Lonchura striata: one gene and its partners. The protein of the gene in region 3 interacts with the protein of the main gene of each other region in a pairwise test. Links are inferred from orthologs where the notes say so. Each region holds a gene or a part of one and is shown on either strand. Other genes may lie near its edges.

What was found. The genes of interacting proteins can lie anywhere in the genome.
Region 1: the proteins of CEP76 (region 3) and KIAA1143 interact in binary tests that used the Homo sapiens proteins (3 or more experiments, as listed by UniProt). The two-hybrid records come from large-scale screens. The link is inferred for Lonchura striata from reciprocal best matches to the Homo sapiens genes CEP76 and KIAA1143.
Region 2: the proteins of CEP76 (region 3) and NHLRC2 interact in binary tests that used the Homo sapiens proteins (3 or more experiments, as listed by UniProt). The two-hybrid records come from large-scale screens. The link is inferred for Lonchura striata from reciprocal best matches to the Homo sapiens genes CEP76 and NHLRC2.

What each region holds. Positions count from the first base shown.
Region 1 is NC_134603.1:111,787,237-111,794,284, reverse strand, and holds the start of KIAA1143 (uncharacterized protein KIAA1143 homolog), read right to left. Parts: upstream 3,001-7,048; 5' UTR 2,952-3,000; coding exon 2,844-2,951; intron 1,371-2,843; coding exon 1,211-1,370; intron 1-1,210. Other genes in the region: kinesin-like protein KIF15-A, read left to right, coding at 3,016-3,175, 5,986-6,119.
Region 2 is NC_134609.1:24,573,892-24,581,058, reverse strand, and holds the start of NHLRC2 (NHL repeat-containing protein 2), read right to left. Parts: upstream 3,001-7,167; 5' UTR 2,807-3,000; coding exon 2,644-2,806; intron 823-2,643; coding exon 670-822; intron 1-669. Other genes in the region: DCLRE1A (DNA cross-link repair 1A protein), read left to right, coding at 4,168-4,579, 6,082-7,167. UniProt on the Homo sapiens protein: Required for normal embryonic development.
Region 3 is NC_134603.1:53,164,043-53,171,814, forward strand, and holds the start of CEP76 (centrosomal protein of 76 kDa), read right to left. Parts: upstream 3,024-7,772; 5' UTR 2,992-3,023; coding exon 2,929-2,991; intron 1,681-2,928; coding exon 1,525-1,680; intron 1,204-1,524; coding exon 1,122-1,203; intron 765-1,121; coding exon 540-764; intron 29-539; coding exon 1-28. Other genes in the region: PSMG2 (proteasome assembly chaperone 2), read left to right, coding at 3,196-3,264, 4,841-5,012, 5,776-5,834, 6,648-6,766. UniProt on the Homo sapiens protein: Centrosomal protein involved in regulation of centriole duplication. Required to limit centriole duplication to once per cell cycle by preventing centriole reduplication.

The sequences.
Region 1 (7,048 bases), about 59 Mb from region 3:
CTTATGCTGGATATTATATTCTGTGCCATCAAGACTGGTCCTGAGAGCAAAGGCAGAGAGAAGAAGCATGGAGTTTGTTATCAGAAACTGCATTCCTCCTCCACATGCTGCACTGGATTGTTCTGGCATGGACAGAGCAGAACAGATCCCTCCTTTACTTTTTAGTTTAGTTTAGCTAGCTGAGGCAGGGAAGTTTTCACTGAACTGTCTTTTCTTTCCCTTTTCTTAGAACTGTTTGAACCTGCTCCAGACTGGGGACCTGGGGAGCACTAAGAGCTCTCACTTTGTGGCCATTGGGCCTTCTCTGGGCAGCAGCCTTTCCCAGTGCCGGAGGGACTGATAACAGAGTGACCGCTCCCAGGAGACACTTTCTGAATTTGTCATCTCTTCAGAGCAGCAAATGAGTTTTGTCATCTGGTATTGTTCATTTTTTGTGCTGGGGAGTGCTTTGCCTGTTAAATAAACAGGTTCTTTCCACTTCTCTCCACAGAAATTTTTCCCAAACTGGTTGGGGGGAGTTTGCTTTCTGGGGGGGGCCCTTTTTGGAGGTTTTCTCCCAAATTTGCCCTAAACCAAGACACAGAGAAACAATTTTTTCTGGACCTTGATGGTTTTTGGCACTATTGTATCATCTGTCTATCTTGCTTAATATATTTGCAAGTCACAACACATACTGGGGTTGATTTTAAACAAGTAATAACATGGACCAGTCAGGCAAGCGAACGTGTTCCCAAGCCATGCATCTGCGATTCTTTCCACCAAAGCACAGACCTGAATCCCTCTGCCCTGACACTCTCCTTCATGCACTCATACAATTAGCTTTTAATCATCCACTCCACTGTCAAATTTGGTTGAACTAGTCAATGAGTTAAAAAATTATCACAGGTGATGTCAAAAGACTGTTCACCGGAAAAATACAACAAAAAATTAATTTACAAAAATACAAAAAAAATTAATTTAAGGGATTATTTAGAGGGAGGATGGTGCATAATCAAGAAGCACAGAACCACATCATTATAAAAAGCCAGACAGCCTGAATATGTACTTAATGACTTGAGATTAGGAACCAGAAGTACAAATTATTTAGGTGAAAAATTCAGAACTAATCAAAGGTAGTATTAAACAGTAGAAAACTGAGCAAGTATCAGACTCGCTTTTGTGGGTTATCTCTTTGACTACAAAAAGCAAGAAATTAGTAGTTGAAATTCACCTGATTCTTTTGACTTTAAGGCCTCTTTGATTTGCTGTTTAATTTTCATTGCTTCTTCTGCAGTCAAGTCCCCTTTTTTCAGTGTCACCACTTGAGGCTGCTCATCTTCCTTGTCACTGCCATTGTCACTGTCATCATCAGCAAGTGGAAGCTGCTCTCTCTGGACAAGGGAGAAATAAAAGCCATTCTGATCATCACTCCAGTTGTGGGTCAGTACTCCTTGGTTTCACTTTTGCAGAAAGGTTATTGAGGAGACTTGGCATAGCTGCCAGTGCCAGGCCCTCCCACCACGTTGTCCAAAGGACATTCCAACTCTATCACTCAGACACAGCTTCCTACTGAAAACATTAGCATGGGAGTACGGGCTTCTTCAATTAGAGACCAGAAGGAACTTGGAAAGCAAGAAATTAATTCTTTTTCTTCGCTATCTTGACTGTGCAGCACAATCTGCTGTACAACTTAAGGTCCAAATTTGAACCCTCCATGCTGTACTCAAAGCAGCACAAAGGGAAATGTGGGTCCATGGTGGCTGAGTTCTTAAACCCGGCTAAACAAATCACTGTAAGCAGCACTGACACAAGGAAGAAAATGCTCCTGTTTCTACTCTCTCTGACTTGTGCACTGGGACAGAAGAATCAATTGGGGTAATTTTTTATTTTTTTAAAATACACCTTCTGGCATGGAAACCTCAGTGCAGCAACCTTAAGTTTGGCAATATCAGAGAACCTGAAAACTTCATATTTTAAGGATAGACAGTATTAGTGTAATCTACTGAATATGTGTATATATATAAATATATATATATATATGTGTGTATAAAACGATAAGTTCATTTCTTAAGATACCCTGTAAAATACTATTTAGAAGGAAATACATGTTAAATCACACTGGAAGCAGAAAAAAAACATGTGCCTTAGGAAAAGCTGCCTTTCAACAAGCTGGCTCAGACCCTACCGCCCCTGCCCTGCCTTTCCAGCCATCACAACACAGTTCATGACCGCGGACCTACAGCAAGATGTTTTAGGTTGGGAGAGACCTTAAAGATCATCCAGTTCCAGCCCTCTGGCCGCGGACAAGGCACCTCCCACTATGCCAGGCTGCTCAGAGTGCTATCCAACCTGGCCCGAACAGTTCCAGGGATGGGGCACCCACAATGAACTCTAGGCAACCTGTCTCACCACCCTCACAGTTAAGAACTTTTTTCCATATACAGAACCTAAATTTCCCCTCTTTTAGCTCGAACCCATCTTAACTCCTTTACGATCATTTTTTTTACAGTACTTTTAGAGTATTTTTTCCCCACACCGGCCTCCTCCTGCACTGCCCTGGGCTCTTTAAGGCCCGGTTCAAGCTCGGACATCAGCGCTGCTCCCTCCGTGCCCGCACAGGCCTCGGGCACGGAGAGGCTGGAGCGGGGCTCCGCACGGCCGCCACTGCAGCCTTGCAGTTGTTCTGACCCGCCAACACACAAGCAAAACCAAGTTACACGTACGATTTGAGTTACAAAACCCTGGAATGCTGCTACTTCCCCCCCGCGAGAGGCAGGGAGCGGGGAGGAGCGGGCATCAAGCTTTGGGAAGCGCCGGGAAGTGCCAGGAAGCGGGGGCTGCCCGCTCCCAGCCGCGGGCGTTACCTTGGTGTCCACCGTGGGGCCCTCCCGGTACCCGACCCGCCGCTTGAAGCGGCTGAGGAAGGCGGGCTCGGCGGGCCGCACGTACGACACCTGGTTCCTCTTGCTCATGGCCGCCGCCGCCGCGCGCGCTCCCGGGCGGGCCGCGCGCCCCCCGTGCCGGGGCTGGCGGCCAATGGCCGCGCAGCCGCGCGCCGGGCGACATGGCGGCGCGCGCCGGGCTCGGGCGCGGGGCGGGGCCGCGCCGCTGAGCGCCAAATTCGAAGGCGCCGCCATTTTGGAGCGGCGGGCGGGAGCTGCCGGGGTCCCAGCGGCCATGGCTCCCGGCGTGAGAGGTGAGGGAGCGGCTGGGAAGGGGCCTAGGGATGTGCCCTCGGTCCAGGGAGGAGGCGGGGGCACCGGGGGACGGCTCTGCCCGGGAGAGCCGCGCTGTCCCGTACCCTGGCGGGGCATCACCATGGGGCCCGGCGCAGCCGTGCGGAGGGGCTCGGTGCCCCTCGGTGCTCCGGGGCGTTCAGAGCGCTGCCCCGGTGGTGTCGGGGTACCTGGGAGCCGGCCCTTTCCTAGAACTACAGAATAAGCTGAGTCCGAAGGGACCCACAGGGATCATCGAGTCCAGCTCCTGGCCGTGCACAGCACCACCCCCGACAATCACACCGTGCGCCCGAGAGCATTGTCCAAACACTTCTGGAGCTCTGTCAGGCTCGGTGCTGTGACCACTTCCTTGCGGTGCCTGTTCCAGTGCCCAGCCACCCTCTGAGTGAAGAGAGTTTTTCTAATATCCGGCCCAAACCTCCGTTTACACAATTTTAGGCTAGTCCCAGGGCTGTGCAAGTACCTATCGGTCTGACTTCAGTTTTTAACTGCACTCCTTTCCTTGAAAACTTGTGCAATTGAAGAATAAATTACTTAATTAGAAGTGAAAATATTTCTCAGATGTTGAGTAAGTCAAAGCAGCACGTAAAAAGCTCATGCAGCAGCAGGATATTTGGGTAGTATGAATGTCAAAGAGAAGGTTAAAGGTGATCCTCCTAAAAAAAAACCTGTGTGCTTTTAAGGATTTTGTAAATACTTTATTATTGGAATATTTTGAGGCATTGTCTTTCATTGTTATTTTTCTTATTTTCTAAATACAATTTTGTTAGTTTTGTTAGTTAATGTTTTGGCTATATTATGTACTTTGATGTCAGATTAAGTAAAAAATAAGTCACTTTATCTACCTATGGGGTAATATGTGCTGTCACCTTGAAATCTGAAGCTGTGCAAAATGAGCCTCACTCACACAATCGGTGAGGTTGGAAAAGACCTCTGAGATCATGGAATCCAACCTATGACTGACCAACACCTTGTCAACCAGGCCATGGCACTGAGTGCCATTCCAAACACCTCCAGGCATGGCGACTCCAGTACCTCCCTGGGCAGCCCATTCCAATATCTAATAAGCCTTTCAGTGAAGACATTCCTCCTGATGTCCTGTCTGAACCTCCTCTGGCAAAGCTTGAGGCTGTGTCCTTTTGTCCTATCACGTGGGAGAAGAGCGTGACCCCAGCCTCCTTCCAGGCAGTTGTAGAGTGGTCTCCCAGAGCCTCCTTTTTGCCAAATTCACAAATGGCACATTGGTAATGTTCACATTAAAGGACTGGAGCTTTCTCTTCCTCTGTAAAAAACTGAAATCTTTCTGCCAAAGGAAGGTAATTACCAAATATTTTAATGCAGTTCTGTTCATGCATAAAACAGGTATTTATAAGGCTCTCCATTTATTTCCCTCTGTCCTGCTTACAGTATTTTCTATTTAAGTGAGGAGTTTGGAGCAGTAATTTTATTGTAATTTTTGTGTGTCTCTCTTTTCTTTTATAGGAGATCTGCGTGACTCTTCAATATCTTCATTGAACTCATCTAGGTAAAACAATATTGGCCATTCCCATATATTTTTAATCACATTGCACAGAAAGTGCAAATAAAGCCTAGCATAACTTTGTGAGATAATTTAAAGATTTTTATTTCAATCTTTACTTGCCTAAGATTGCTGTCTTTCTCTCCCAGTATCCTTACAGGCTTTAAAAATAACGTACTCATAATAAAACTGTTACACTGACACGTTGGGTTCCTCTTGTAATGCTGTCATGCAATAAATTTTCATTTCTCAACTAATTCTGCAGCTGAGCTCTAGAGTTTATATGAAGAAATATCCCACTAGGAACTTCGGTCCTGTGAGGAAGCCTAAACTAAAACAAAAGCCAAAAAGCCCTCCTCCAAGTGTAAACTGTGCCATAACTCAGAATAATGTTATACAAAGAAAGCACATTTGGCAAATTAATTTGGTGTGTCTTAAATCCAGTATAACATCCCTTTCTCAGCTGCTGCTTATGTTTGGAACCCTTTCCTCTGTCACTACCCAACTGCACATTTCGTTCATGAAGACCCTTCCCCACTTTTAAAACTTTTCTTCTCTCTTGTTACCAAAAGTAATAATAGCAGTTGCAACACCCTCCTGCTAAAACTTTTGGAACATAATGAAGTAAAGTAAATCCAAGTTTGCTACCACTTTATGTAAGAATTTAATTCTTTAATATTTTATGGGTGTATTGGTATTTACGGCAGAACTCTTCAGAGCCTTAATGTAAAGTCATGCACAGTTACTTATTAAAGCTGATAAATGTGATGAAATTGGTTAGGGATATTTTAGATGCAGAACTTGCTATGCTTTATTTGATTCATTGATCACGAATTTATTCTTTTTCCCTGTCTTGTAAGCACCAAAGAAAAATGCTAACAACTTTTTAGCTGGACCATAGCATTATCTTATCCATTGATTCATTAAAGATTCCAGGAGTAAGAAGGGCATCTCAAGTTCACTGTGCAATGTGTTCTTTTAGAGGCAAAGCAAACTGCCACAGCAATAAATTGCATGTAACTGCATGTTCGTTGTTCTTTAAATCTGCCACATTTCTACTTCTATTGTTTTTGTCTACAAGTAGAATGATTTTCGGACGGACCTTTGTAAGGCTTCATATGCTTCATCTGATTGTTTCAATTTGATTTTATCAGACATCTGATCTATTTGGAAGTAATCTAATGCATAAACATTTATTTAGTGTTGAAGGTGATGCTATCAAAGTTTTTGTAAGGGTGCGTCCCCCTTCAGACAGAACTGTATTAACTGATGGAGATCATGGCCTATGTTTATCGGTCCTTTCATCAAATACCATCCGCCTGCACTCAAAGCCTGAGCCAAAGATCTTCACTTTTGATTATGTTGCAAATATGGAAACAACACAGGTAATAATTTCCAGAATCTCATAATTACTGCTGTTTTCACCCAAGTTTTGGCAACTACTATGCTAAGCCTTTCTAAAGATGTAGTGCATTAGGTCTAATTTTTTGCAGTGGTCAGATTGGAAACACGTTGTTATAGTATACAATGCTGCATTAAATTCTGCTCTCTAACAGTTTTGATGTGATTTTTTTAGCTGTTTTTTTCTTTACTTAGAGTTTGAATTAAAATTGGAGGTTTTGTTTGTAAACATTATGGTAACACCACAGAGAGAAAAGAAATCTGCCTATAGAGACAAATGTATAAAAATAACTGGTAGTCAGTAGCTGATATTAAGATGTGATATCACAAAATATGCTGAATTGGAAGGGACTCACAAGGATCATCAAATTCAACTCCTGGCCCTGCACATTTGTATTTAAGGAACTTCAGAGTTTATATTCTGTTTGCAGTATCTCCTTCTACTACTTTTGCCTTTTAAAAGTAGTATTTAAATGGATGCATTGATCACCTGGGACAAGTAATACTGGAAAGAAAATCCCACAATTTAATTTCTAGGATGATTGACATTCTGAACATTATTTTAATTCTTCTAGGACTCCCAATCCCATTTAAATTCTGTTAAAAAAACAAACAAAACAAAACCTCCCAAAAACTTCACCTGCTCTAGGCTCTTCTTTCAGAACTAAGAGAAAAATGTGAAGATAGATGAGACTAAATTGTGCAGGTCTATTGAATGTGCCATTCCACAGTGGCAAATGTTGAAAGCTAGATTTTATAAGTGTCACAGGCACCTGGCCTACTGATAGTAAAAACTGCATAGCATAATCAAGACCACTGGATCAAAATTGTTATCATTATTATTATTATGTATTTTGAAGCTGTTACTATGATGCTGAATTTTATTATTTCTCTTTGAGTTTATCAAGAAATA
Region 2 (7,167 bases), on a different chromosome or scaffold from region 3:
TACAGCTTATCTCTAACACGCCATCATGACAAGACACTGCATTCTAAACAGAAATTACCCTGCATTTTTATTCAGTCAGTGACAGACAGATCGACAGATCTCATTTCAGATGTGACATTAAAGACCATAATCCCCCCTCTAGAATATAGGGCGATTAATGGTATACAACATAATGCCAATATAAAAAAAAAAATCTATATCAAGCTTACATATTTTGTTATTTCAGTTCCAATGAAAAAAAAAAGTAATCTATATCTTATTCTACAACTATCTGTATCCCCTCTACCACCTTTACTATATTCTTCTCAGAGCTGGTTCCTCAGTCAAGAGTAGAAAATTACCTACTCATATTAATTTTGAGCCTGTATCTCACATTCTTGAGTAGCTTTTTGAAAGTCACCTTATTTACAGAGGTATCAGATTTGGGCTTTAAGCACATATCCCTTTTGCCCAATTTCACAGACACAACAGGCACTTTATTTAACCCATTTAAAAATGTGATGGAAGTACACACAGTCACCTTTTTTAGGCTACTTAAAGATTAGAAGACATTTTTAGACAACCCTGAAATACTGCCAGCAATTCAGTAACCAGCAACAAAGTGACTCAGCTCCTCAGCCTGCAACAGTGCCAGGAAATTCTATTCCAAGCCAGCCAAAGTACTTTTACCTTTATCAGAGTACTGGTGCTCTAAGGCATGGAGGTCAGGCAGCAGGTGCAAGCAATTGATGCAGCAGTAAGTGAAGAAATCCAACACCACAACTTTTCCACAAAGGTCTTTGTGAAGAGAAATAGGACCTTCAGTGTTTAACCATTGCAGATCTGGAATTCAGAGAACAGTGGTAGCCAGTTAGGGGAAGGGTAGGGAAAGGCACCAACACCACATAATGTTCCTGGTACTTTTAACCTAAAAAAAATTAAAAAAAAAAAAAAAAAGAAAAAAAAAAGAGTTTGACATCCCTTTTACGCAGGTAGAAAAGCAAACAAAAAGTTTCTTATTTATGCAACTCATCCTTATGTTCTGCAATTCTTCATAATTAGCAAATTAAGATATTATTAGTAAGATTCACTGTATTATAAAAGTGTAGTTTATATCTTTATATAGGCACTTTTAACTTGAAATTACGTGAAAGCCTCAGAACAAATGTCATATATGTTATAACATTATCTACATTATTCAACCCCCAACAATGCCATGTGGGTAACAATCAATAATTTAAAACTCACATAAAGGCTCCTAAAAGTTTAAAAGTGTTAAACTCTTAATGATTTTTTCCAACAGTTTTCTAAAGAATTGATTTCAGAGATCATTGCAATATTCTTGTGCTTATAAGTTTGATCTTGATATTCAAAGTTTGAAATTACATGTATCAATTAATTCTGTCACATGGGAAGAAATACAACTTTTTCAGATATGCACAAAAGTACACCTGGTCATTTATTTTAACCACTTGACACGAGACATGAAAACATTCTTTCCTCCTCTGATCCTATCAGAGGTATCAAGATAAGGAATAAATATCCTAAAATTTAGTCTGCCAGTATTATCTCTTAGCATTTCTGAAAATTATAAAAGGAAAATATAGTTATGATAAAAATGCAAAGCTAACTAGTTTTTGAACTTTCACTTTGACACTTTCAGAAAATAAGTTCTTACTGATCCAGAAGTTATTCCTACTCAAGTCAGCAGGAGGCTTGTTTTACATTTCACTAAGAGGAGGGCTGTTCTCTGTCTCCATGTATTTACAGACATAAATGGATGCACACATGTTTAATTTTGGTGAGAATAATGAGAATAATTCAAGTATATGCATTATTCCACAGTGTAGGAGCTTTGCTGTTCGGTTTTTAAAAGAAAAGGGTAGTTTATATATTTTACAGCATTTCTCTTTTTTCACTAGAAAATAACTTTCATATATATTTGCTACTTATTTGAGCTCTTTTTAGAGGACAAAATAAGCCTTGACAGAACACTGAAACAACACTAATGGCAAAATCTAAAATTCAATTCAGGGCCCCAAGTCTACACAGAGAGAGCACTCCTTTTGTTCCAAGCTATAATTCATTCCCATGATATGAATTTTAAAATCACCCAGGGTGATTTTAACCCTGAAGTTCACCTCCTGAGCTCCCTGTCTGGCGGTATGACGTGAGCTCCCACAGCTGCAGGGAGCCTCTCAAAGGTTAAAAAGACCCTGAGCAGGACTTGCAAAACCTTACAAGGCTTAACCTTTGATTTCCTCCTTGCCACAAGGAGAGACACAGAAATGTGTGAGGGGCAAACCAGGAGGACGAATGACATCTCCAGCAGAGTTTGTATCGCCCTGGGCAGGAAAATTGACAAGTCATGGAGCAGAGAGCCGGGGAACATCCTGAGGGATGCTCCGGGAAACCAAGCGAGCTCAGGAGAACGCAGGGAGAGTTAGTAAGGTTCTCACGTAAATACACAGTACAGACAGCAACAGACTTAGAAGAGAGGCTTTACAGAACAGTGTTTTTGCAGCCAGTACCAGGGAGAAGATGTTTAAAGGGCTTCTTTTTGCCTCCCGGTGCTCCCAGGAGTGCCAATTCCCGCGGCCGCAGCGGCTCAGGGGCCGGCCCTGCGCTCCCCGCGGCAAAGCCCGCCCGGGCCGCGCCACCCACCTCCGCCGAGCTCGGGCACCGCCAGGTCCCGCTCGCGGCTGTCCATTTTCTTCAGGTACTGGTAGACCAGGTTCTCCTTCTCCTGGGCGGTGTCGGCGTCCAGCAGCGCGTACTCGAGCTGTGTCTGGGCGGGCAGCAGCCCCGCCAGCCCGCCCGCCGCCATCGCCCGGCCGTGCTCACCCGCCTGGCGCTTCGCCGCCGCACATTCGGCACCGCCGCGCCGCCAGGGCGGAACCCGCGGCTGGAGCAGAAAGTAAACACAAGGCACAGACACGCAATAACTCCTCTGTCTTAAAGCCGGACCTCCTCACTTATTCCCTGTTTTTACGTATCCTTGGTTTCCACAGCAGCACATTCCCAGAGCGAGCCCACGGTGGAGATTCCCGCGCAGCAGATTCAACACAACCCGTGTTTCCCGCTAGGATGCTTTACCGTTTCTAAGGTGTAAAAATTGAGCAGCACGGGAAAAAGTCGAAACCAGAGTCCAGTGATTTAAAGGGTGGGATCTGGGGCTCTTCTAGGGGGGCAGTCTGTGACAGAAGAGAAGCTGGGCGACAGCGGCGGTGACGAACCTGCGGAAGCGAATGCGCGGCCACGGCGGGAAGCGGCGGGAGAGGCGGCGGGACCGGCCGGAGCCGGGACAGCCCAGGGACATCCCGGGACACTGAGACATCCCGGGCACTCCGGGACAGCCCAGGGACATCCCGGGACACTGAGACATCCCTGGCGGTATCCCGGGTACCAGGACATCCCGGGACACTGAGACATCCCGGGCACTCCGGGACAGCCCAGGGACATCCCGGGACACTGAGACATCCCTGGCGGTATCCCGGGTACCAGGACATCCCGGGACACTGAGACATCCCGGGCACTCCGGGACAGCCCAGGGACATCCCGGGACACTGAGACATCCCTGGCGGCATCCCGGGCACTCCGGGACATCCCAGGGACATCCCACCGAGCATCCCGGACACAGGGGGACCCCGGGACATCCCCGCCACTCGGGTACTGGGACACACCGTGGAGCAGCACCGGGACCCTCTGGAAGAGCATCACAGGGCACTCCGAGGGGACGCTGCCGAGGAGCGTCCCGGGACACCCTGATGATGATCCCGTAGCTGAATTTTGCCTCGTTTTGTTTTAAATTTTTTTTCTGCTCGGGCAGGAATTTTTAAAATCTTCCTGCCCCCGCCGAGGCCGGGTGGAGCTTACGATGCCGGGGGGAAGCTGAAGGAAATGGCTCACCCTGGAAGGCTTTGCAGACTCGAGCCCTGTGCGACAGGAGAAATCGCAAATCTACAAAGACACGCTCGCTGAATTTATTTTTGGGGTAGGATCGACCATGCTCCTGTCCCACCAGGGTCTCCTGCTTGGTTTGTGGCCCAGCGTTGCTTTCTTAACATGGGCTTCTGGAGCTTTTCCTCAGGTAGTGAAGAGTGGAGGGAAGAGAAAATATATTAGCAGGGGGAAAGGCAGGTTTGTGAACTGTTGCTTAAAAGAAAGGGGAATATTTCATGTGTTGACATGTCTGAAGATGCTTTATTGGAAGAGGACATTTGGGAGTACAAATCCATTAGGAAGCGAAAGCATTGTAGTAATTCACAGAGCATCTCTACTGTGCAGGAAGTAAGTGTTGGCAAAGGCAGGCCAAAAAGAAAAAGAAATAGGAAAAAGAAATCCACAGAAAAAACTGGTACACCTCCGAAAACCAAGCAGAGCTCACGGCCAGGTCAGGATGTGGATCAATGTAAAGAAGACAGCAGTGAGCCCTCGCAGGAAAGTGTGGGTAGACTGGCAGAACAGAGCTCACAAAATGCAAAGCCCGTTCACGATGGGTTCTGTCCCAGCTGCCAGATGCCCTTCTCTTTGCTGCTGGTCCAGACACCTCAGTGGCACGTCTATGAATGTTTGGAAACTCCAGGACCCATTGAAAAAGGTATGAATAGAGTAAGAAGAAAGCCTTCAGAGAAAGCTTACAAACTTCTCACAAAATGTTGCTGTAAACTTCGTTTTTTGTATTCAGCTCAAAATCTGAAATGGTAGTTGGTATGATTTTTATCATGTTTTGTTATGTTTTACTGATCAGTCCTATTTTTATATGAAATTTTGCTTCTTTGTGAAAAATGTGGAAATCTGCCATGAAAATCTCATTTCAAAATCTAATCTCAAACCTCTGAGAAAGTTTCATGGCTGTTTATCAAGTTTTAGTATTTCATTGAACAAACTGAAGGTGCACATTAAAATAATGAGACTTGTTACAATGACAGTGTCAGAAAAGAACCTTCAGGCACAAGGGTGCTACTTTTGACATGAAGCCTCTATCTCCTTAAGTATAGATTTTATTATCTTGTATTCATGTTGATATGTGATATGTTCCGTTGTCTATGGACATTTGGAAGCTGAAATATGCTAATAAACTTGTGGCCCACTATGGTTTAGAAATTTTAAATAGAAATAGACTAATATCCCTGTATCATAAGACAACCGTTTTCTTTTGAGCTCTGTACTAGAGGACTAAAACTGACACATTCTAAATTCCAGTTTCATGGGGAAATACCATAGCTAAACAAATTCAGGTATCCAATATATGTGCTTAATACACCTCATAATTTTTGTAAAACAGAAAGCATACAGTCTGGAAAAGTGAGTAAAGGCTATTTTGGGTAATGCAACCATTCTTCTTTTTACATTTTGATAACTTTCCGTGAGTTTCTTCTTCAGAGAAATGACATGTAAATTCTTACATGATGATTTTGGCAGTGCTTTTAATTTAAGGCAGGTGTTTTAACGCCTCGTTTCTGTCTTACTCCCTTAATTAACAGGTGAAGAGTCCTTCTGGTGGGTTTATGTTGTTCACTTTAAAAGCCTGAAAAGTTAGGCTGGTAATTTGTTACTGGGAAAGGCCTAGGAAAGTGGTATGGATTTTTTTTTTTTTTTCCTATCACCTCAATGCTGAATGTTTTCTTCTTATAGGTAAATGCACAACTTTTTTCTTTTTTTTAGTGTGTAATATCAGACAATTTAAAATGGAATTTCAGGTTAATTCAGAAATTTGTTTGTTACTTATATTTGAAGTGTACTGGCTCTTTCTGGTACTACTTCTTTGAGCTTGTTGCTTGAATGTGAAACAATTCTAAACCAGAAGCCATGTGGTTACAGGAGCACAGCATTGAAACAGGGTCAAGTATTCTTGTTAATGGGCTGTATAATTCAGGCATAGTGCTGTATGAGCAGCAACTGTTTGTTTTTAGGGTGGAAGCTTCTCATTGCTCAGCTTGGAGCAAGAGGCCTTGATAGTTTGAAAATTACTTTTTACTTGTGCCTTCTGTCCTCCAGCAGCTGTATTTACAAGAAAAAGCTCCTAAATTTTTATTTTAACTGTGACAACTATACTTGCAAAGGTATTAACATTGCTCCTTTGTTTGATTCTTCCCCTAGAGTGTCCTGATGGTTTACAGTGCACCTCCACCATTCCATCTCACTACAAGCGTTACAGCCATTTTCTGCTTGCAGCAAACAGGGCAGGGGAGTATCTTGTAAACCCTTTGGGAACCACTGTGGAGATGAAGATGACATGTTCTACTGCTGCAAAGCCCAGCTGTTCCCCAAGTTATGCAGAGGAAACCTCAGGGAATGAGAAACCCTCTACTGAAATAAAGCATACCCCAAATGATGACTGTGCATCAATGGTACGGAATTCACCACAAATGAAGTCCCTAAATATAATTAGTGGAAGTACTTCCTTTTTTGCAGGTGTTGAAAAATCTCAACAGACACTTCAGCTTCCACAGAGGGCAGATAATCATTGTACATTTGAATTTTTTGATTTTGCATCCTCTCAAGAAAGTGAAACAGGAAAACATCTGTGTATGGAGAAAGATACAAGTCAGCCAGGTCTCCTGCAGTCAGGAGTGGACTTCAATGACTGTGGAATTTCTTACTCACCACTAAGTACATTTGAGGAAAGTGAAGAGGAAGAAGAGGAGAAAGTAAAAGTATCACAGAATAAATTATTTGAAGTGCAGAACTCAGAAGAAGACTCCAATTCTGTGGTGTTTAAAACATTTGATGGACTTCTCTTACAGAGGAAGCCTCAGTATGAGCATGCAAAAATGGAAAATTTCATAACTAGAAAAACCCTCTGTGAGGAAGAAAATACACTGAACCATCTAGATGGTGGGTCCTCTTTTGATTGTAGTTACAAGGAGACTGAACAGCTAGAATTTATTTCTTCTGCTGCCAAAGCAGGAACCACAGAGTCAGAAGATGCTGGTGCTCTGGATTCTGCATGTGTGAATTTTACTGGGATGTCATCACTTGTAGACAGAGAAGATGCTGGCTCTCTTCTGACACAGAAGAGCAGAGTTTTGAGGGAGCCAAGTAACGTTTTAATTTGTACAGATAAAATGACTGCCAGTGCAATTGGAAAAACAGTTCACCAGAGTTTGCAGACAGCAGCGGAGAAAAAAGGAAATCGTAGTACAGCTGCTGTGTGCTTTCCCAGCCCTATCTCTTCTAAATCAG
Region 3 (7,772 bases):
GTTGCATCCACCATCTTGCTTCCATCACCTGCCATTATTAAACCAAAATAAAACAACAAGAATATTATCATCCCAAGTTCTCCTCAGAATTTTAAAACAGTATGCAACAAAATGCAATGTCTGTAATAAGTATAAAGAAAGACCTTGAGTCCAGAAGTGTAAACAATGATCCTATCTCTAACACCATACTCACTTTAGGACAGAGCTACAGAGAGATTACAGAGAAGATAAAATTATTTTGCAGTTGAGTACTGCAATGCAACTAGTTCAGATACACAAAAAATATAAATGGAATTAACATTTAAGAATTTATAAAGCTGGTCAATTTCAAGTTATTTTAGAGTGAAAAAGAAGGAAAAGAGCAAGAGCAGAGAAAGATCTACAAGGGGTATAACCCAATACAGTAATCAGTTTTCTCAGGAAAACATGACAAAAACCAGGAAAAAAATTCACTAAATAATACCAAACATATTTCACAATAACTCTCAGGTCAGAAGAAATCCCAACAGCATCAGCTTTAAACCCACAATATTCCTTACCTAGGGTATCCTTGTGTATTTCAAGTAGAAAACCATCCTGAAAATCTGGCTCACAGGCACAGGGTACAGGTTTGGAACGGAAGCGCTGGTTTCGAAAATGTAAACACAGAGTGAAGGTAGAACAGATCTGGCCAGGCAGAGGCTCTGGTTCCTGAAGATGTTCCAGAAAAGCTTTTCCACCCAAAACCTGAAGGTAAAGATACCTCCGTGTTGGGTCAATGTTAGCTGCAAAGCGTAGCAATAAAAATGAAGAGACTACAAACAGATCTTAGAAAGCTTAATTTGTTAAATATCAGGTAACTAACAGGACACTAGCAAAAAATTAAACTTCTTTGAAACATGCTTAGAAGAAAGTGATTTTAAAATATACCTTTGTGTAAAGTAAATGAATTAATAATAAATAATATTTAATGCAACACTGATTGCTGCTGCTTACATGAGTTTACTCCCTGTGGATAAGCAGAGGAAACATCCACCTTTATTCCAGTTCATACTGGATTACTAATTCAGAGTGCCAAAATCAGAGACTTCAAATTTGCTTTAAAACCATGATCTAAACATTTAAATAAACAAGAAACATACTTTTTTTCAAAACTGGTGGTTCTCTGTCAACAAAATGTGTTGATGGTTTTGGAGCCAAAGTCCTCTCCGTTTCATTCACATCCTGGAATTACAATTAAGACTTTTTAAGGACTCAAGGGATGCAACAGTGCTCTTACCACAGTCTTCTAAAAATTAAAGGATCTTCCATTTCGTCTGAATGCCATTCCTTAGGTATACTCCCTTCTAAAACTGAACAAATATTTTCAGTGCAGTATTATCACCAAACCGATTTCAGCATGTGCATTAATCTTCTCTGCTCCTATAATGTCTCAAATCAGTAAGGTCCTTACAAAACTCCAGAAGCAGCGGTTTCACTTTGTCGAAAAACCACGGCAGTAAGAGGAATAAGCAGAAATATTTCCCTTCTTAAAAAGCTACTTACAGTTACAAATTTAAGTTCCTTCATAACATCATCAATGATTCCCCGCTGTCTTAGGGCTCTTATCAGATCTTCTGTGGACAACTGCTGCTGCTCAGGCGCCAGCTCTTCTCGTACAGTCTCAGCAAGAACTTCTCGTATCCTCCCATGGACATCCATCTGAAAGAAAATTCATTATGTGCTACAAACACCAGCCCTCTGTATGGCAGCAGGTACAACTTACCAATTAAGTCTGTAAGGCTAATGGTGTTTTCCTAAGAACACAGAAATAACGATATCAAAATACTGATCCTTGCACAACTAATCAAATGAGCCACTATCTTACAAAAGCAACTCTCCCAGTAAAAAAAAATTACAAGCATACAAAACCTTGGCATTTTCACTGCTCTTTGACAGCAACTCATCTGGAACGTCCCCCCTTACAAAAAGGTCTGGAAATACATAAATTACAAAATGGTCACTGTTCCATTTTCTTGTCTCCCTCAAAATTCAACCTTAATATAATACTTCCTTATTTTTTAAGGGGAAAAAATATTCATTATATAGGTTGGGCACAAAAGCAGTAGATCTCCTTTGCAAGCTTTCCCTATACTCAAAGGGATGTCTGAGAATGCCCATCATCTGAGCTGTGAAAGCAGATGGATTTATAGAGCTGACTCTCACACTGGAAGGCTGCGAAGGACACAGTCACCAGGACCTGAAACGGAATCACAGAACGACCTTGTTGGAAAACACCTTCAAGATCATCTAATTCCAAAACCCTGGCCATGGGCAGGAACACCTTCCACTAGATCCGGTCACTCAGAACCCCACCCAGCCTGGCCTGAAACACTTCCAGGGATGGGACATCCACAACCTGCTCCAGTCCCTCAACACCCATCACAGTGAAAAACTCTTCCTAATATGTCTTTCAATTTGAATCCATCTCCCCTTGTCCTGTCACTACACGCTGTGGTAAAAAGTCTGTCTCCTTTCTTGCTGGCTCCCCTCAGAAGGCTGCTATGAAGTTCCCACCGAGCCTTCTCCTCTCCGGCTGCACAATCCCAGCTCTCTCAGCCTTCCTCAAGCAGAGGCGCTGCCCCCCTCTAATCATCTTGCTGGCCTCCTCTGGACTCACTCCAAGATCCCCGTTCTCCTGTGACGGGCAGGAATATTCACCACTGCACTAACAAGCGCTATAGGAGTTACAGCCTCCTTACTTATTCCCCGGCCAGTTCAAGACCCTCGCTCAAAAAGCAACAGGAAAGCGACCAAGCGGCGCCTGGAAACCACCTGCAGCGACCCAACTGGGAAAACAAAGCGGGGCGCCGGAGCGGGCGCCGCCGCCACCCGCGGCCGGGTGACACCGGCACGGAGGCCAGCACAGCTCCCTGAGGGCCGGGGAAGTCTCTCCGGCGCCGGGCCCACCTTGAGCAGCTGCTGGTGGATGATCTGCTTCAGCTCCGAGGCTTTCTCCGGCGGCAGCGACATGGCGGCACCGCCACCGAGCGAGCCCAACCGCCCCGCAGCCAGCGCGGGCAGCGCCGCCGCCGCCCCCTGGCGGCGGCACGCGGGTGCGGCGTCCGCGCCCTGCTTCCTTCCTCCCTCCCTGCTTCCTTCCTCCCTCCCTCCTTCCCTCCCTCCTTCCTTCCTTCCTTCCCTCACTGCCTGCTTTCTCCTCCCTTCCCGGCCGGCATGTTCATTCCGTGCGGCCGCGGCGGGGGCTCCGCCGCCCCCGACTTTAAAGGGTTCACTCTGCTGATGGTGAGTCACGCTCCTGCTTCGCCTTTCGCCGCCCTCGCCCTCGGTGCGTTTGAGGGCTCGCTGCCCGCGGTCCCTGTGCCGAGGGCTCCGCTCCGCTCCTGTGGGACGGGACATGTCCCACGGGGTTCTGGTGTCGGTCCCTGCCCTGCCCGAGGCTCGTCCCTGGGCGCTTGGCCGCGGGATAAGCGGAGAAAGCTCAGGGCAGGCGGTGTGTGTGGAATCTGTGGGGTGTTCTGGGAAAAGAGGGTTTGGAGGGCTCTGTCTGCGGCAGAGCTTAGCGCGGTCTTCTCCTTTTCTGCCGGCTTCTCCCTCCTCAGAACCCCGGGTTTGCCCCTGTCAAGACGATCCGTGCCGAGCTGCAAAAGCTATATTTTAATTTAGAGCAATAACTATATGCTATTTCGGAGCTATAGCTATACGCTGTTGCTCTAAAAATTAACGCGCCCTATGTGCTTTTACTGGATTTGCAGCACCCGTGGGTTGTCACTGCAATAAAAGCTTGGGATTTTTTTTTTTTTTTTAATTTAGATGTGATATATAAATGCTTCAAATGTTTTTTTTAAAAAGCCATTCTGCTACATTTAAATCTCGGACTAGGATTGTTTTCGGAAGTGTTTTTATCGCGCGTGACACCGGTGCCGGGTGACGTGCCCGAGGCGACGCTGCCGGGCGGGAGCTGCAGGCTGCGGAGGGACGAACGCCGTCTGGTCTGGCCTCGCTGCGCTGGCTGCAGGAGCGCCGCCGCCCAGGCGGCTCCACTGCCGGCACGGCTGCCGGGGAGTCATTCCCGCTCCGCTGGCGAGCGCCAGGAAGCGCATCCCTGCCGAGCTGCGCGCCTGCGGCGGGCGGGCAGCTGGGTGCCAGCCAGGCGGGGGCACGGCAGTGCTGCCGCGGCCCCCTTCATCTTCTGTCCGCCTCAAATCCGCTGTCTTTCCCCAACAGGCAGCAGCAGCAGTAATTCTTAGATGTGATTATAAATTAGAGGAAAGCAACCGAGCGGTTTATGGTAGTCTTCCCGTAATAGTTTCTTTGGAAGGACACTGACTCTTTACTTTCTCTTTCCGTGTCGTCATATTAGGTCAGTATCTGCCCCGATCGATGATAACCCGTAGCAATTCTTATGAAATTAATTTAAGGGCACCCTTATAATTTTCATCCTTAAAAAATATGTAAAATTACATACTCTTGTCTATGAGTCAGTCTGAGATTTAGAGGCTTAACATGTAATACCAGAGCTGCCTTTGGGCATCATGTGAGCCAGTCTCACATCAGTCACTTGAGTGACTTTTACCTACTCTCAATCCAAAAATGTGGGGAAGGAGGTAAGTTTCCAAGCTGTTCTTTCAGTTTACAATTAGACAGGATTATTCACAGAACTGGCCAGGATGTTTTTTGTCGGACAGAGACCAAATCCTGTATTTACCAATTCTTCTGGTAGGAAATAGTCACCTTTGCCAGAGGATGAGCAGCCACTTTCAGAAATGATGTTTGACCAGATTTTAAGGTTTCACTATTTGAAGAGCACATTATGCCATCCATGAAGTATGCTGTAATTCGGTTCGTTCTGTTACTTCAGCCAGCCGTGTCCGTGGGGAATGTCGGTCAGTTGGCAATAGATCTGGTGATTTCCACGCTTGACATGACTAAAGTTGGTTACTTCTATACCGATTGCCTGGTGCCAATGGTTGGAAATAACCCATATGCAACAGCAGAGGAAAACTCAATGGAGCTGAGTATAAATGCTGAAGGTGGGTATAGAATACTGCAAGCGTTTGCAAGGGACATAAGATGCAAGAACATCACATTTTCTTTTTCGTTGTTGTTAAATTTTGCTGATGTGCTTAAATTAAGGGCAGTAATAACAGCTGCAGAAACCTACAGATAGGAATGTATTCATATTTCACAAATGAAACTGTTCCTGTTGTTATTTTGGAAAACCAATTTGACATTTAGAATGTTTGAGCCATATTGTAGTGCAACCAGAACTCTCTGTGGTATTAATCCAAAGCAATATGAAGTGTGCACATACTTAAAATAAATTATTGGAATACAAGTTGAATTTCTCATTTAGAAAGATACTTATCCACTCTTCTTCTTTCCTACATACCTCTGCCTTTTTCCCTGTGTAATGTTTCTCCCACTCCCCCTACAAATTCTTAATTTCTTTCCCTACATTCATCATTGTATCTCCTTTTTTTTTACCCTCTTAAATCACAGAAATCTCAGAATAATATGGCAATCTTTGCAAAGATGCATACATAATCTGAATCATTACAGAAGGCAAATCCTCATATATGTTTCATAATTCAGTCCTTAAATTAGTACAACTGAAAGTACAATGCACAGAAATATGTGGTTTTAACACAGTGGATGTTGTCAGGCTTTCCCGTATGAATTGATAACTGAAAGGTTTACTTTACTATCCTGAAGTTTGTAAGTGGGGTAATTCTTGATATATTTAAACCCAGATTCTCAGTTTCTGCTTAATATGACAATGATTTCTTCTTGTAGTGTACTCCTTACCTTCAAAGAAACTTGTAGTTCTGCAGATCAGATCACCTTTTATAAAGGTATGTATGTTCATCGATCATTTTTACTTCACTGTTTGGTTTGAATAGTTCTGCTGGCAAAAATATTTTTCTACTTCAGGCTGTAACACCTTCTGCAGTTGGTAAAGTTTTACTGATTTCTGCATTTGCTGAGGCATTTTGCATCATCAGTTTGGGCATTTTGTTTTTCCAAGCCCCACAACAGCTGCCTGTGTTGGTAGATTTTAGTGCTAATATCTCCTTAGTTATTAAGAGTCATGAAAATACAAAATGGTCTGGGTTTTGTTTGTTTATTTTTTCCTTTGCATTTATATTTTTTCTGTATTCTTTGTAATAGCTTTATTCTTTTTTGTGTTATGCCAATTTAATTATTTCATATTATTCTATATTCATTTAAACAATGTTCATTTGGTAAAAATGAGGAATTTAGTATTACTCATTAATTGGGCAGTGGCTGTAATTTAAAATAAGCAGAATGCCACCACAGAAAAGAAAATTGTAGTGCAGTATTTTAGCAGTTCAAAGTGTGGAAAAATACTGTGTGATCCTGCCATCCCATCCTGCTCTAAATCTTTTTCCTTTGGTATTAACGGCACACAAAACAGGTAGTACTGTTGTTCTTGACATGGTCTTAGAGATAATTCTTGTAATTCTATTTGTAGTTTTGCTTAAGTAAACAACCAGGGCAGTTCTCTGCTTTCTAATATATCTGGGGCTGAAAACTAAGTGGATATGAAGAATAATTTACGTCACTGCTAAATACTATATGTAACACCTAGTATTGTTAAGGACACATTAAATTTTTCACTTTTTTGTCTGTGTCTTTGCATGAAGAACAAGTACAGGCCATTCTGTGAAACTCTGCTTTCTTGGGTGAAGAGCAGCAAATTTGCCAGGGTTGTCCTCCTGTCCAGCAGCCACGCATACCAGCGTGATGATGAGCAACTTTTGGGGTATGTTTGTCTCCTTAAAAGATCTAATTGATGTTTCTGGGTTTTTTTGACTGATATATTTCCCTCTACTTCCATGTCCTGAGTACTTTTGGCAGGTGCTTTTACTTGCATGTGTGCATTGGTCATAAAATGCTTAGTATACTGTTAAAACATGACGTATTACAGTACAAGTCACTGAATTTTCTAGGTTACTACTGTCAGAAGTACTGATCAAATGAAAAGCTGTAAGCAAATTGCACTCAGCCTGCATTGCCTCAGTTTCAACTTCTGTGGCCGCAGGCAATATCAGGGCTTAACTGCTGACATACAGGTCACAAGTTAGGTTTTTAATAGTTGATGGCAATATTAGTTTGTTTCTGACCTCTTTGTTATCATTCTGCATTTGAAAGGTTTTCTTCAATACAGTAAGTTGTCATTCCTGGGTTTTGGGTGTTTTTTTATAGGAAGTTATTTGTTGGGAGGCAACTGCAAGGCTGCAATTGCAGTCTTTTTTTAATAGATACTACCCATCCAAAAACCAGGCCTTTCCTGATGATTGAGGGCATCCTATTTGGTGATTTAATGAGAAATAAATAAAATCAGTACTTCTAGAAATAAGACCAGCATTTCTGCAGTTGTTATCCTCAGGCTCTATAAGTGTGTAGGGCCTCAAGGGAGATTTAGATCTATGCATGTCCCAGATATAGCGGTAGATCCATACAATTGCAGGATGGCCAGCTAACATGGAATGAAATGAGAGGGACTGATGGTTATTTGATGAGGTCTAATTCATAAGTTGTGATTTAAACCCTCTCAGCTCCTTCAGCACCACAGAACAAATCCCTTAGAGCAGATTTACTAAAGAGTGAGAGTAGTGCATCCAGAAAATACTTTTAACTTGACTAAAGTCTGAATCTATTAATAATGTGAGCTTACTAAAAATACTGTATCATGATTAAGTCCAAGTTTACCTTAACAGATTTTGAATTAATCACCTCTTATCTGAAGGAAGAAAAAACACATTTTA